2 linked regions of the Arabidopsis thaliana genome follow. The protein of the gene in region 2 interacts with the protein of the main gene of each other region in a pairwise test. Each region holds a gene or a part of one and is shown on either strand. Other genes may lie near its edges.

What was found.
Region 1: the proteins of AT3G56570 (region 2) and AT1G04990 interact in a two-hybrid assay, tested with the Arabidopsis thaliana proteins (one large-scale study listed by BioGRID).

What each region holds. Positions count from the first base shown.
Region 1 is NC_003070.9:1,417,030-1,425,510, forward strand, and holds AT1G04990 (Zinc finger C-x8-C-x5-C-x3-H type family protein), read right to left. Parts: upstream 4,611-8,481; 5' UTR 4,426-4,610; coding exon 4,350-4,425; intron 4,102-4,349; coding exon 3,944-4,101; intron 3,853-3,943; coding exon 3,796-3,852; exon of another isoform or gene 3,584-3,795; coding exon of another isoform or gene 3,536-3,583; coding exon 3,419-3,535; intron 3,345-3,418; coding exon 3,075-3,344; intron 3,004-3,074; coding exon 2,758-3,003; intron 2,630-2,757; coding exon 2,339-2,629; 3' UTR 2,187-2,338; exon of another isoform or gene 2,042-2,186; intron 1,999-2,041; exon of another isoform or gene 1,746-1,998; 3' UTR 1,583-1,745; downstream 1-1,582. Other genes in the region: AT1G04985 (triacylglycerol lipase-like protein), read right to left, coding at 297-361, 945-1,017, 1,146-1,262. UniProt on the Arabidopsis thaliana protein: Possesses RNA-binding and ribonuclease activities in vitro.
Region 2 is NC_003074.8:20,955,110-20,963,012, reverse strand, and holds AT3G56570 (SET domain-containing protein), read right to left. Parts: upstream 4,430-7,903; 5' UTR 4,354-4,429; coding exon 4,343-4,353; intron 4,266-4,342; coding exon 3,890-4,265; intron 3,812-3,889; coding exon 3,615-3,811; intron 2,967-3,614; coding exon 2,633-2,966; intron 2,557-2,632; coding exon 1,876-2,556; 3' UTR 1,720-1,875; downstream 1-1,719. Other genes in the region: AT3G56580 (RING/U-box superfamily protein), read right to left, coding at 1-450; NAC065 (NAC domain containing protein 65), read right to left, coding at 6,146-6,342, 6,548-6,848, 7,421-7,609.

The sequences.
Region 1 (8,481 bases), on a different chromosome or scaffold from region 2:
GCAACTAAGGATCATTAAGGTACAAAAACAAAACACTGAATATTTTAAAGTGTAAAATAGTCAACCACGTAAGTATTAGCAAAAAAATCTATATTATTAACGGAAAGAGGACTAAATTCAGACAACTACGCTGTAAGTTCATGATAGAGGATCAATAACTAGACATCATAAGAGGAAGCACCAAGTCATTTGCAAGAAGAGCAGCTATATGAATCCAACTATGCAAAGCAGCTAAATTTAAAGCAAATATGCAATACTATGTGCAATAAACTTTGGCAAATGAGGGACACACTAACCGCATTCTCAATGGACTCCAGCCTCTGATTAATTCTAGTTTCATTGTAATGTCGTAATGAGTAACCTGCACAATCATTCATCCATTCGGTAGAACACGGTCATAAAACTCATTTGACTCAGTACAAACATAAACAAAAGACCAATGAGATACCTCTTCCAACGGTCACTAGTATCACACAAGAAATTCAGTTTCTAACTTGTTTTATGTCCCAGCAGAATAACAAAAGACCTAGAATATCATGTAGAGATCTCAAAGTACTAAACTTCAGTTATTGGAAGTTTTGGACAGATTAGTTATTGAACATCATCACAGAATTCTGACCAAGATGATCTCCAAACACTTGGAAACTTATGGCAGATCAAATCAACTAAACCGTAATCTATAGTCTGATCCGGAAAAAGGCCTCAAATTTATCACAGAATGGATTTCACCCCTAGAGATCAAGCCTGAGAGCTAAAGCTATCCCAATGAAACACTCATGAATTGAAGCCAATCAACACCCAAAATCTGAATCACTTCACTAATAGCCATTGCTCGCCTTTCAAAGCAATCCAATTCAGAAACTTAAACATCAAAATACGTGGTAAGAGGTAAAGATTCTCTAATTGAAGATAAAGTAAGCAAAAAATATGGAATTGTAACATACCAATCCAAGCCGTAGCAACAGATGCTATAGAAGTTCCAACTGTAAACACGACCCTGTGCCTCTCGAACAAGTCCTAAGAGATTAAACGAAACCCATTATAAGCAGATTATAGATTGACATTTTAACAAAAATCCTGATGCAAAAAACATTTACTAATCCCAATTCTTCAGAAACCGGTATGAATTGAAATTCTTCGATCACCTTGGTGGATAGATATGAATCCTGGACGGCGACCAATGAATTTAGGGCTTTTTTCTTCAGCTGAGGCACGAGTGCGGAACCCAGAATCGGTGTACCTCGGCCTCTCAGCCGATTCATGATTCCCTCGTGCGGCTGTAGAAACTCGGATTGAGTCGACTCGGCTAATTAATTAGATTGAGTTCTGTGGTTTTGCTTGCAGAAATCGTAGGCAGCCACAAAACCCCAACGGAGAGATTCCCTGTCACGCAAAGGACGAAGCTTCTTCCCAGATTTTTCTCCGACAAAAAATGCCTAAAAACAACCCTTTTCAGTTTTTTTTTTTTTTTTTCTCAATAGTGGACTTTATTCAATAAACCGTTTGCTACAAGGCCAATTACAGCCCAACACACATAAACAGATTGCGAACAAAAGCAAGCTCAAGAAGAGCCCAATAATACACCGTTTACAGAAGAAGATTGCATCAAGAAAGATCATCCAAAGACACGTAATAATACACGTGTAAGATGAGCCAAAAAAGATTCCCATCGTCATCCTTCGCCATCGGAGATATCGATTTCTGGTGAAGAAACCACCGTCGAATGCAAATCGTCGGTAGATCAACTGTTTATCACCAGCAATAGCAAAACAGCACCATGAAGAAATATTGGAATAATTAAACTCAACAAGAGAGTAAAATCCAATTATTCAGGAACTGTTGGTTAAAACTAATCGAATCTCTAAAACTCATTAACAGCTAAAGGCAATTGTAATAGGCTGAGGAAAGTTTTCAACTCTTTTCTTTACTTTTGGAATGTTCAAATGAAATATGACTCATCGATAAAAAAAATTTGGAACCTTTTTAGTTTTAAAATTGAAAAAAAAAAATAAGCTTGAAATTGGGGATATTACTGATGTAAACACTTGACAAAAGCAAAAGATGTAATTTTACGTTCGAGTTGTCATTCATAAAGAGCTCTTAGTGAGTGTCACAACACAAACTCTATTTTTCCTCTGATAAGTCTGATTAAAATTTATTAACAGAGTCAAAAACAGAAGAGAAACCTGTGACAACATCACTGGTTTCATCCTATATTGTTTTCAGCCATGGCCATCTCCAAGCCAAAAAAAAAAAGAAAAGAGAAACACTTTTCACCTCCCCTCCTCTTCCACAAAAAAGGGCAGAGAGAGATCATTGGGGTTTTTAAGAATCATGATCATGGTGATGACGCATCCTCAGACAAATCCTGCACTTCTCCATTGTCTGGTTTCTCAGTCTCTGAGCTTTCTTTCTTCACATCAGGTTTACCATTAGAAAGAGACTTTGAATCAGAGCGGTTTGGTGTTGGTGAGATCCTCTGATGGGTTGTAACAGGTGAAGCAAAAGGAGTAGGCAGAGAAGTAGCCATGGTCAGGCCCGGATATGGCAGCATAGGGTGGTCGAATTTGCAGTTTGGTCCAAACTTGCAGAATCCATAAGACCTGAAGTTACCACAAGCTGGTTGTCCCTAGACAGCAAAAATCAAAACAGTAGCTCATTAGATGTTCAAAATCTTTGTAAAAGTTTTACTAGTGACCTGTAAGACCACATTTGTTTGTAACCAAAGCTCTTCTTTCAGTTTAGTAAGAGACTTACAGGTCTCGCTGGAAGAACAAAAGGGTTTATAAGACTTGGTGGTGGTTGTGAAATCCTTACTCCGGGATGGCTGTATTTGCAATCGTCTCCGTATTTACATGTCCCGGTGTTCATAAAAAACCGACATTCTGGTTGGTCAGAACTTTCTGACAAACCACGGTTCAATGCCACAGCCATGGCCATGGATGCACTACTACCGGAGTAATAAGGTTGATTCTTCACATTGTACATGGAGTTAGATGCAGCCTGCAACATAAAATGTGATATCAACAGTAAAGAACAGGTTTACGTTATTGGCAGCTTCAATTCAGACTAACCATGTAAGGGGCCCAGCCTTGAGGAGGTAAAAAGCCTTGAGAGGGTGAAACCAGGATTGGCACATAGGACTGGGGAACTTGCGGACGAGGCAAAGTTCCATATGTAGACATCATTGTTAAACCACTAGCATATCGTAAATCTGCAGCAGGAAAGCTAGACATTCCATATGCAGTAGAATGTCCATTATCAGGTTGAGGATGGTGGAATTTGCAAGCAACTCCGAATCTGCAAGTTCCCGTTCGCAGGTAATATGGACATGGCTTCTCACCCTGGAGAAGAAATTCAAATAAGTCTTCCACATTCGACTAAAGAAAAAGAATTTAGCTACAACGATGGAAATTACCAGACGCATAGGTAAACCGATAACATTGAACATTACAGGTTGTGCACCGTTCCTGTCCTTTGGATGATGATATTTACAAGTTGGGCCGTACTTACAAGCTCCTGTCTTCAGAAAATACTGCAGCGAAAATTGCATGTAGAAGAAAAAGTTGTTTGTGGAAAACATTTGGAGGAAAGACTAAACCAGATGAGGAATATCTTCTGCAGTTTCAATGTATATTCTTGCTACCTCTCTTATGTGAAGTTACAAACTAGAATCAGTTCTCTTACTTTAGCTTTATTCTGAACAAAAATCTCGTTTTCTTTTTAACTGTTTACAATGTACTCATCCAAACAACAACCAAGATTTGAGATAGTGAGAGATACAAGAAACTGCACCTCACAATCCGGCTGTCCAATTCTCTCAGGGAGCTCCTCCTTGTAATAAGCAACATCCTATTAAGATGTTTAAAAGCAGTAAACCCATGAGGCCAAAATTGCAACTTAAGTAAGACTCAGCCAAAATAAATGAAGTTTAGTTTCTGACCTGTGGAAGATGAGTAGGATGATTGTAACGGCAACTGCTTCCATAGCCACAGAGACCAGTTCTTAAATAGAATTGGCAATCTCTTTCACCGGGACGATCTGGATACGGATTCAGTTCCTCCACGCCGGTCTCATTTACTTTCATCTTCCTAAAGGCATCTACAAGATCATCATAACAACAACAACATAAATCTCAAAACTTGATCACTAGATAAAAAAAGCAAACAGAAAACGTAAATAAAACTCATCAAGAGATCAAAATTCCGAAATGCTACAAAAATTTGCTGAAATCACAATGAGAGTTATAAACGATGATCAAACTAGAAAACTCAGTATGATCTTTCAAACACATTACGGAAAAACCAGACCGGATCAAATGGATCTCTCGAGATTAGAAGAAAGTTAACCTTCGATTTTGTCGGAAGATCGAATCGACACCAAAGAGCTCTGTACATGCTGAGTGTCTGACATGGGGGTTCGCATGTAAGGAAAGACGATGATCACGATGATCAACAACAACAGAAGAAAGGAAAAATCACAGAGAAAGTGTCACGATGATCATCGAAAGAAACAGATTTTTGTTATCCTCTATTTTTCTGGGTAAGAAATGACGAGGAAGAACAGAGGTAGATAGATAGAAGAAAAAATTCAATTTTTCTTTTATCACAGACAGAGAATTATCGTTGGAACAGATCCATTTAATGCTAAATAATACAGAAATGTAGTAAATTTTCTTCCTTGTTTTTTTTGTTTTACACAGACACTCACTGAGATATTTCCAGAGGAAAAATTTCGGATCTTTGTTTTTTGTTTTTGCCCTTTTTTTTCTCCTCCGATGTCTCTGTGTGAAAAGGAAGAAAATTAATTAACCGTGTTTTTAAAAAATAAAAATGAATACTCCTCGTGTACAAGATAATAAATTTGATGTACCTGAGATGACAATATTACCCCTGCTTGGTCTGGTCTGATATCTTCAATGTGACGGTTCATTGTGAACCTAGCTAGACCTTGGCAGCTTGGCTCTTTTTCAAGTTTTAACCATCGGTTTTCCAGAGAATAATACTGAATTACCTACTGACTATACAATTTTCTTGTAATGAAAATATATGATTTTACTAAATAAAAATAAAATATCATCCAGATAGGGGTAAAAGGGTAAAATAGTCAGAACAATGTAATTCTTCTGGCACAAGAAATCTTATGCTTCGCAGTTTGTAAAGTGGTTGGGACCCACCGGTAGAAAAAGGGACAGAATCGGAGGTTACGATTCGCTGGTCACTGGAGCAGCGTAAGAGCTGTGATCTTTAGACGTCAGTATTACGCCACGTTAGCTTACGAGGTAGTGATCCTCTGCTCTGATGACCACCTATGTTCTTTTCCGTGATTTTGACGCTTTTCTCTTCTACTGGTTTGACCGTTCCAAATACTTTTTATTACACGTCAACAACATATTAAACAAAAAAAAGTAAAATGGATTCGGCTTTTTGTTATTTTTCTTTTGACTCTCCCCTTTAATTAGTTTCCTATGACTTCAAGTTTCCGTCTCCTACTAGATTAAGGTAATGTATGTGGAAAGGGTTTTTATAAAGTATGAATTTTGGACTCTGTATAAAAATGGAATTCCTGTGATTTTAAAATGAAATTAGAGTTATGTACATGCGCATTGATGGTGTATTTCCCTATTAGCCCTAAGAACGATCGTTCGTTAATTATACAATTAATCATTTATTGTTGAAGAGACAGAAACAACATCCAAGAGAGAGTCCAAAGGACGGATCCATTACAAAGACATGTGCAAGAGATTTTCTTAGTCTCGTACTCCTTTCGGTCGGTTTCTCCAACAAATGGGCCTTGGCAACAGGTAAAATAATACTATTGGGTCTGTTTTGTAAAATCTTACGTTTTCTGAAATGGAGGATGTTGATACCTTTACAATGGGCCTAAGGTCCCATAAATTGGGCTTTAAAGGGCCTCTTTTTGATACTTCCTTTTTTCATTTTATGTCTTGATGTTCGAAATCTTCTATGTAAACAAATTTTTTTTGGTTTTAATGTCAAGAGAATATGTGTGTGTGAACAATTTATAATGACCATGTTACATTTTCGTCTCGTATGTTTAAAATTCTTGTTTTTATTTGAAGTTTTCACATAATTATTTGAGGGAAATATTAAATGATCTTTTTGCAACTCTAATAAAACGTTAGTAAGTGGCATGCTAAATATATAAATGATAATACACCAAGAAAATTGAAAGTGAGCTAAATATATCATTCCTAACAAATAGTTGATAAATTCTCAAGTTGATATATTGTACTAGATATTAGTCATAAATAGAACCTAACTATGAACCAATAATAGGTCTACAAATGTGGGGCCAGAGACAAGAGAAGAAGTCACGACTTTGAATCTTGATGATCATGGATGAATGGATATCATGCATGAAAAAATTAAAATTTCTATGATATGGAAAAACGACAATAATGGACGAAATCTTTGTACGTCAAAATCGGAGACTTAGATCGTTAGATGCATGCAACTAATTAACAACTCCAATAACTTCAATTGAAAATGTGCGTATACTCACTCTCATGAACGGTCTTCTCGTATTGTTAATTCACTGTAATCCTTTTGCGTTTTGATACGCAACTTCGGAATGGGCAACGGTATAGCGAGGCTTACGTATGCTTTGGAAAAACATTAATTCATATATTAATGTTTTATATTCCGTGAGAAAATTTCAATGTTTTGGAAAATTAGAACAAATTAGAACAAATTCTCGAAAGATAAATTGAAGGCATTATGATATTTTCGTACGTTCTTTTTACGGAAAGTTCTTTAACGGCATCCAAAACGCTTTCGTACGTGGCCGAGTGCTCGCGGCGCAATAATCCTTGAGAATCATAAGGTATATTCCCTGGAATGTACCTTTTTTGTTTTTCTTATAAAAAAACTATCTGGTGCATTTTGTTTTTATGGAGTAATTTATCCAATTAAAGTCCAGTGTGGGACACTAAACATTACAAATTTTATGTCTTTAGCTTAGTTATCATCTGTTTTTTTTTAATTAGAAAAGAGTAGTTTTCTGGTGTGAGTGTTATGTGGAAGACAAATATGTGACGTGGATTCTAATAATGTATTGTCGTGATGTGGTTCTTTTTGCATTATTTCGTTTTGATTATGTAATAGACATATATTTAAATGGTGCGATTATGCACCGAAGAAAAACATTCGTCTCCATTTTTCTTTATACGAAATTTGACCCCAAAAAAAAGGTAAAACACGGCGTCCGTGTTATTATGTAGTATCATGTATGACAGAAATGGCAACTACAGTAGATAGTTTGGACCGAATTTTATTTTCACACAATTAAATAGTTATTTCAAGGCAGTAACAAATTGGTGGAAAAAAAAAAAAAAAAGGCAGTAACAAATATTAAAACCGAATATTGGCTAAAATTATACATTTCAAAACAATATTATGAAATTGTTTAACAAAACAAAATGTGAAAGGAACATAGAAGTAATTAATGTACTCAGATTACGATCCCATAGAACTTAAATAAAGGTGCGTTTATGAATGCCAGATGACTCAGATTAGTGATTGTTCTTCCCACTTAGCAGAGTAATTGCTCTTTGTCCTTTGGAATCTCTCTCTCTCTTTTTATTTCTCTGTGTTTCGCTTGGAATCTATATTTTCGCTATTTCCTGGAATGATGATATATATGTATGTTAGTATGTAGTAGTCAATATTTTTGTATATTGTGAATAAGTGACTTTTTCAAGGTAAATATAGGTCAGAAACTTCAAATTCAAAATATTAAATATTATAATATTGGTGAAAATATATAGTCAAAAAATGATTTTAGGTTCGGTTGATAATTTATTCAATGAGAGTGATTTACCCGAATAAGATGATTGTGTGTGAGCAAAAAGATTCCACAATGATGCCAATTTAAGCTTCAACAAGTGCTTTCCTATTAACAAGAACAATTTATGTAATATCATTTTTTTCGTTTGTTTTGCAAAACTGCAAAGTCATTTTATTTTGTTTACTTTAATAATCCTTGAAAATGTTATAACAGTTATTTCCTCAAATTAGACCATCATACTATTATTATTGTTATTATCAACCGTTGATAAAAATGGTAGTAGCATGTACAACTAAGATAGACCGTTACAAAATTCGTGTATTGTTAATTATTATATAGTTTCCGTATGTTGCTGTTTTCAGCTCAACTTGAGTAAATATAAAATATTAAACTGTTTATTCTAATATTGGATTCTTTTGTGTAGTGGCAACTTATTTTTTTCTAAGCTTTTTTTTTTTACAGATTACGGATTTCAGTATGAAATTGTAGATCCAATCAACTATTTTCACATATGCTAAAAGGTATCTAAAAAGTAAAAACACTTAACAGATTATAAACAAAAAAGCTTTTAAGATAAATGTCACAAATTCTTTAAAAATAAACAAATAAACAGCTATTGACAAACAAAAAATAAAAATAAAAAAGGAGTCCTTGCTGGGTCCATCTCCTTTG
Region 2 (7,903 bases):
GGAAAGCTGTTCAATCAGTTCTTCAAGACCGGGTCCAAAAAAATAGTCTCCGGCATTGGTGCCACGTGCGATACCAATTCCAGGTGCTGCGCCATTGACAAAGGCTTCAACTGAACTATTATCACCACCAGCCAATCGAAAGGGAGCTTGGCCACCAAAGATCAATAGAGGAGCCAAGTTTGAAAAGCTTTCAGAACCCGCAGAGCCAAGTCTTCCGCTGATTTCTCGGTCATAGCTTCTTTCAGCTAAACGGCTTCTCATAAAGGCTGAGAAAGCTTCCATGAGATCAAAGGTTGGATCACGCTCAACATCCCTGTGAGCTCTACTCGGTCCTATATCGATTTCCTCAACAAACCCTCCTCCACAATATGAACAGACAGCATCTCGAGCTCGAAGCCAAACAGCACGTTGACATCTGTGACACCAATGAGTATTCCGAATACTTGACATCCTTTACAATAACAAGAGAAACAAGGTCCCTGTGTGGTTGAAACCTTGGAAGATTTTACAGTCAGGTATTAGTTATTAGCCTGCAAAAGCCGGTAGGAGAACTGATCACCAACTCCTGCTAACTTTTTTGCTAAGTTGGTAAACCAAAGAGATTTTGGCCATATCCCTACTTCCCAAGCTTACCTCAGAGCTTAGTTCATACTACAAGAGTCAATGGAACCACAAGTCATAATTAAGCAAATAAAAGACCAAACTTTACAACACATATTTCACCCAATTATGAAAAATCTCATGTTTCCCTCAACACTAGACCCTTTATTCCCAGATTAGAACATTCACATCATACTAATCTACTACAATCTTCAAATCTAATCTAGCTGATTAACAAATAAATTCTTCTTTAATCAAGCCAACTCAATTAAAAAATGACCAAATAATGAACTCAGAAACTCTATAGTTCAACCACATTTGAGCTAGAAAAAAAAACTCTAAATGAGCCATCAGGCGATCCAGCAATGGAGAGAAAATCGAATTAAGAACAATGAAGAAAGTACAATGCAAGAGATCTACAGAAATCAAAACATCTTTCGTTCGGTTAATCAAGAGGAATAAGATCGATCAAAAACCAGATCACAGAAAACGCTTCAATGGAAAAAAAAAATACGAAATACACAAATCCTAATCAATATCAGAGTAAAACACACAGAAAATATCCGAAATACAATCAAAGGCACAGACTTTACCACAACATTTGAGCAAATTTGATCCAAGGATCTAAATCCAACAAGAAAAATGAAACAAAATAAAATGATAAGATTCAAGAGAACAATTTACTTGGTTAATCAGAAAGAGCAGCTCAATCAGTTACATACCTGTTCACATAGATCCAAAGGAAGACGAAGAAGAAACCCTAAAGAAACTGTGGTAAGATTGGATTTTGGAGGAAGAAAACGAACCAAAAGAGAGCAACTCTGGTAGAAGAATCTCTCCGTTACACTCTATTGAGTCTTTTTGACTGTTAAAAAAAAAAAAGCTTAAAAAAGAACTTGTCTTATCTCTGTGTAATTCTGTGTAAAGTCTGTAATATCCTTTAATTCCCACGTGCCACGTGTCTACCTTTGTTAAAGTAACCCCATCTTTCTCCATATTTACAGTTCTACCTGTCTGACAGTCGCCGGCTTTTTGTCACGCTTTCTTTGCTTCCGTCTGAAGATTACTCAATATACTACTCACGATATAAAATCCTTTCTTTCTTTTATTTTTAAACCTCAAGAATTTCTATAAATAGAACAAAAAAGAATCGATCAAATCTGCTAAGATTCGATCACCATTATAGATGAAACTCAATGTTAGTAGAACAAGTCGTTTAAAAATGGTAACTTGGGGATGAAAAGTGAAAATTCAACAAGCAAACTAAAGATGTTGCTAGGATTTTGGAACCATCTTCTTCCGGCGCTTTCCGCTGGAAGACTCATTGGTCTGGGTATGGATGTAGCTCCTAAGCTTCTTTAGAATCTTCCTCTCACTCACACGCAACACAAGCGAATGATATAGTCTCCTGTCTCTCGGAAGACAACAAGTCTTCACCCTAACAATGTCATCTTCCAATGAGCTCAATGATCCATATAAACTCTCTCGCTTATCCACAATAGTTAGAAGAGCTTCACAAACACCATCTGTCAGAAGAATATCATTTCCGCTTTCTCCATACACAAACTTGTGTTTCCCAATTGTTATCTCGTAAGAAGAAGATCTTTTTCCTTCTTTCGAGGGAGAAGCTCCTGTTGTTGATTCAGCTAGATCCAGTTTATTGTATGTGTCGTCTGGTAAGAGCAGTATATAGAGTAGGATCAGGAGCTCGGTTTGGGGTTCTCCGGTTGAAGATACCTCAAAGTATTCTGAGTTTTGACTCTCGCATCCTGTGTAACCTAGTTTTCTCCACAAGGCCAGTCTAGCTCGAGTGTACCGGCTTGTGAATGAGGATGTGCTCCATTCGGTTACTAATTCTAGATCTATGTTTACTATGTCATATGGATTATCGAGCTCTGTAAATCCGTACCTGTGGAGTAATGCAGCATTACCCATCAAACCGTATGTATTGAATACCTACACAGAAAATCATGGCATCAATGCAAATGACATATAATTCTAACTTGAAAACCAAATGAAAAATCATACATACCTCAGCTCCAGCTGAGACATCCTTCACCATAATCATTTTTAGACCGGATTGATCATTTTGCAGCATTGAAGAGTTTTCTTCTTCCTCTTCTCCTTCTTCTTCTTCTTCTCCTTCTTCTTCTTCTTCTTCTTCTTCTTCTTCTTCTTTGGCTTCGTCATCAGTGTTTTCACCAGGAACTTCCTCAAAAGACTGCTCAGGCGAGGAAGAAATTTTACTGGAAGGCTCGTCTTCATCAGTGGTCTCATTTGCAGCATCATCGTTGTCAGATTCATCAGCTTCAGAATCGGATTCATGAGTGAAGTGAACGTCTTCTGCCCCAGTTTTATGATTAAAGCTGCAAAATGAAATAAACAGGCAATACTAAGAAGAGTGGACAATGAGTAAATCATCAAGCATTTGTCAGGAAATTCACCTAGCATGCTAGAATCACATTTAGTTCATCGAAACCGACTTCTAAGGATCATTTTTTCCACATGAAAAAAAAAATCAAAACGGAAAAGCACAGATCCAAGTAAATAACCAATAAGATGCTGCAATCCAGAAGAAGGCTGTGAAAAAAATCAGCACATTGATTGCTAACTGTATAGATTATCTGCAATCACTGACAGGACTGGGAACATACTCGGTCTTATCAAAGTGATTGAACCTAACGAGACCTTAAAATCTACACAGCGGAAATCTCTTGAGGACAACATAAACAAGCAAATGTTGGTCCAACAACTAGGCAAATTGGCCGATATACAAGATGCAATAAAAACTCACAAGTCTGGGAAGTGAACAGAGAAATAAGGAAAACATCTATATGACCATAAACTAAGTAACTAACTATATAAGTCTATGGTTAATGCAAAGCTTAGGGAGTAAAAACAGCTGATACAGGAAAGCATTTCTAAGGTATTAAACCTCAATTCTAACAACTTTCTTTGGTTGATACATATTTAGCTTAACAAGCCCTATGAAGACAAATGTGAGGTAAACTTACAGGTCTGCAAGAGGAACCATCCCGGATCCATGGTAATCATCGATTTCGAAAGACCGTGAAGCAATTAAACTCTTAGCAGCAAGATACTCTTTGATTCCAAACGAATCAGAATCAACATTCTGAGGCAGTGAAGAGGTAAGCGGCAAAATGTTTTCTTTCCAATCCTCATATATAAGAACATGATCTTCCTTCACCAACTGCCTACAAAAAATTCAAACTGATGAGTAGTGAATTCAACTACAATGCAATGGTAAATCAAAATTTGGAAAGGAAACCTTATGAAGCTCAGTTCCAGATAAGAGAGAATCTAAGTCTTCAAGAGACCAAACAAGAGGCAAATCTTCTTGAATAGGAAGAATCTGAAGATAACCAGCCCAAGGAGATTCTTCACCTAAGCTTCTCTCGTACATGAGAGCCACAGAGAGACCTAAACTTCCATCTAAATCAGCAGATTCGATCATCTCACGAGCTCCACTGGTTTTGATAGTGAGACAAGCAGTTTTTGAGATATTGGCAACAACATCTCCTTCCTTCAAATCGCAGAATGCTCTCACAGAGACACCATCGTTTTCGTCGTCGACGAGGTTGAGAGCTTCGCTGCAATCAACGCCGTTAGCTTGCATCCATCTCTTGAATGCTCTTAATCTCCTACTAACAATGCGAGAGACGAGAAATTAAACAAGGTAAAATTAAAGGTTCTATTCATTGACTATAGAGCGAGAGAGAACCTTGTGGCCATGAGTGAAGGTCTCCGATGAAATCGCCGGAGGGAAACAAAACAACGTCCGGTGAGAGAGACAACGACGGCGATAAATGAATAAAGGGTTTATGATGTTCAGTAACATACGAAGAGTATTGACGAAAATACCCTTCCATCTGAAAATTAAATAAACCTGAAGTAATTTGGATAACAGCTTCTAATTGCCACACTTTAATTACGGGGAAATTATTTATATGTTTTGTATCTTCCCTTTTAAACATTATCAAACTAGTAATCTATGCATCACATACAAATACTCCATTTCATTTTTGTAATGAGTTTAGCGATAATATGCATACAAATTTAAGAGTGTTCAATCCGAATTTTGGTTTAGTTTTGAATCTTCTGATACGTGACGAAAAGAAAAAAAACTTTTGATACGTAAAATAGTATCTAAAACAAAACATTTATCATTGGGATAAACAGTTTAGTACTCAAATTCAGAGTTTGGTATTTAATCCTAAAATATTAATAAAACTTTGATTTTTTTTGTTTGGTTTGAATTTAAATTCAAAATTTTGGATAAAGAAAAAGGTGAATGTATTCATACCATATTAATATATAATTCGATTTGAATTCGGATCCGATTATTCAGAATAAACACCCCTTGATATCAATGTAGACACTTATAGCCTCAACCCTTAGTTATGTTAGAAGTTATCGACTCTCACGTCATTGTAGGAGATTTTTCAGATTGTGGTTTAATCTGTATTTATTTGACATGGAGGTTTATCTTGCAAAAAAAAATTATATTGAGGGTTTTTTGCACAAAATCCTTATGTATTCAAACGGAGTTATCGACTGCCACGTCATCGATATACGGGAGGGTTGTATTGCAGGTGATTTAGAGTAGGTGGGGTTGACTTGCATAATTCGGACTTGGAGGGTAACTTGCAAACGAGATTGATTTGGAGGGTTATTTTGCAGAAAACTCTTCTTTTAAAAAGTATTAAAGAGTTTTACATCCAACAGTGTTAAAGAGTTTTACATCCAACTTTGAATTAAAGGAAAAAGCCTAATGTTTAGTGTATAAATTTCCAAAAACAAAAATATCAAGTAAGACTTTGATCTTCAATACATTACCATTTCATACATTTATATATAGAATAGACTAAAGTATGTGCTATAAACAAACCAATAATAATAAAAACTTTGTAATCATTAATTATAACAAAGATAAATGAATACTCAGCCAAAACAACATCATGTTCGGGTGCAGGAGAAGAAACGACAACAAAATCTTCCTCGTTCACTCCATTTGATGAACTCTCGGCAATTTTCTATCCTCGCCACAACCAAAAACGCAGAGTTTTGGTGATTCCACCATCGATTACTCTTTTATTTCTGATTCATTTTCAAGAGTGTCGAACAATACCGGTTTACTAGAAAACATCGTGAAGGAAGGAATAAAAGAAAGAAAATAAATGCAGTTGATCTCAACCTATCTATGGAGTTTGATTTGAATTTTGTGTGTTTTATTTTTCCATCAAAAATAAATAAAATGCTACCATTGTAATTTTTGATTAAGAATTACAATGGTAAGCATTTTATTTTATGTTTATTTACTCTTTTATTTATGTTTTTTTGTGTTTTATTTATGTTTTCCACCATAAACCTGTTTCATGATTTTGTAACGTGATCATTGACAGAAGAACACACAAAATGGATTCATGACGCACCAACAGAAACAAGAAGAAGACTCAAAACAAGACTCAAAACAGAATCCAAAAAACTTAAAAACCTAAATAACTTGGGAACCAAGAAACACTTCTTACCTTGTCGTGTTGTGAGAAGAGTGATCAAGAGAGTATTCTTGCATTAACCAATCAGTTTTGACGCCTTCTGATGGTTTCCCAACGTAGTATGCAAGTGGCCTTTTGTTGCCAACGACACCATCTCCAGCTTTAAATCTTTTGGGCAGCCACTTTTGCGTGCCAATATCCTCCGTCAGTGTCGCCACGTTTCTGCCTTTTCGCACCATTACCAACTCTCTTTGTTTGGCTTAAACCTTGATCAACTTTGTTCCTCTCCGTTATAATAAACCATTCTTTATCGTTACCCTTCTGGAATTCCTCTGTTTCAAAAATATATATATATAGATATATGTTAATCACTTAATAAACTAAAGAATTCAACTAAGTAAACAATACATATGGACGGAGACAAAGTTAACCTGAAAGTGTCTGTGGATTCGACTCGTAGATATTGACGCGATGAATAGGAACATTGAGCAATACGTTGGTGTTGCCGTCCGAGTAAGGTTTCAAGTAACAATTGATGACTTCTTTATCGTTTGGCATAAACTTAAAACCTGGCGGTAATACGTAAGCTATCGTCGACGGAGGAGACATGTTATCAGCTGCCAAAGAAGACGAAGAAGAAGGAATCTCTGACTGTGGTTGCGTTTGCGGTTCCGGCCAGGATCTTTCTTTGCGCTTGTTTCTTCCAGGCATCATCATCAAGTAACTTTGGAGCTTTGACAAAAAACAAGGAGTAAGTTTCGTAAGAGATATTCAGTTAGTTAGTAATTGTCTCTTATTTATAAGAATGTAATAAGACGGTGTATATATAAAATGATTTATAAAATTTGAGATAATATGGGATTAAGTTTCGTAAGAGATTTTTGCGTAAGTTTCGTAAGAGATATTCAGTTAGTTACGTTAGTTATTGTCTCTTATTTATAAGAATGTAATAAGACGGTGTATATATAAAATGATTTATAAATTTATCGAATTTGAGATAATATGGGGTTCGGATAATATAAGATTTGCTGAATATCAAATTGAGATTGAGATTTGGAAAAGAATAAGTTTCATGTTTAGCTAACAAACGTTAAAATTGTGGAATAATGTAAGCAAGAATGTGAATTACTCCAAACAACACAAGTTAACAAAGAAATAAACGTTGATTACATTAAATGTGAAATAAATCTGTTTTTGAAAAAAATATACCGTTTTCATGTTAAAATTGAAATAGTGTTGATTAAAAGAAAATGTTAGACAAAGTTTAAATAGAGCCATTGATAACAACTAGATAGGAAAAAGACCTTTGGTGTGAAAGAGTTTGCCTGAAGGTCGACTGTGAGTGAGCATGGTGTAGCTCGCCGGAAAGGCTGTGAATTTCGTCGGAGAAGCTCTATGTCACTAGTACTCACTTCGGTTAATGTCTTTTCGCGAATGTTCTCAAGATACTTACTTTGAGCAAAACTGAACGTGAAGATTTTGAAATCGAACATAGCCTCTCACATGCTTTTGAGTTTTGAGAGCAACACTTTCAACCTAAGTAGCAAACAATGTAGCGATAAAATTCATATTTGTAGTCAAGCTTTAGTTAAAGAGATAAGTTTGAGTTAGCCATACAAAGCAGTTTATAAATATTAGCAATTTTAAAAGAAAAAATATAATTGTTTACACAAAAATTATATCATTAATAATACAAAAAAACATTTTCACATTTTTTAAAATAAATTTTAATAAATCTTACATTTTATAGTATCAAATATTACTCATAATATATTACTCATAATATA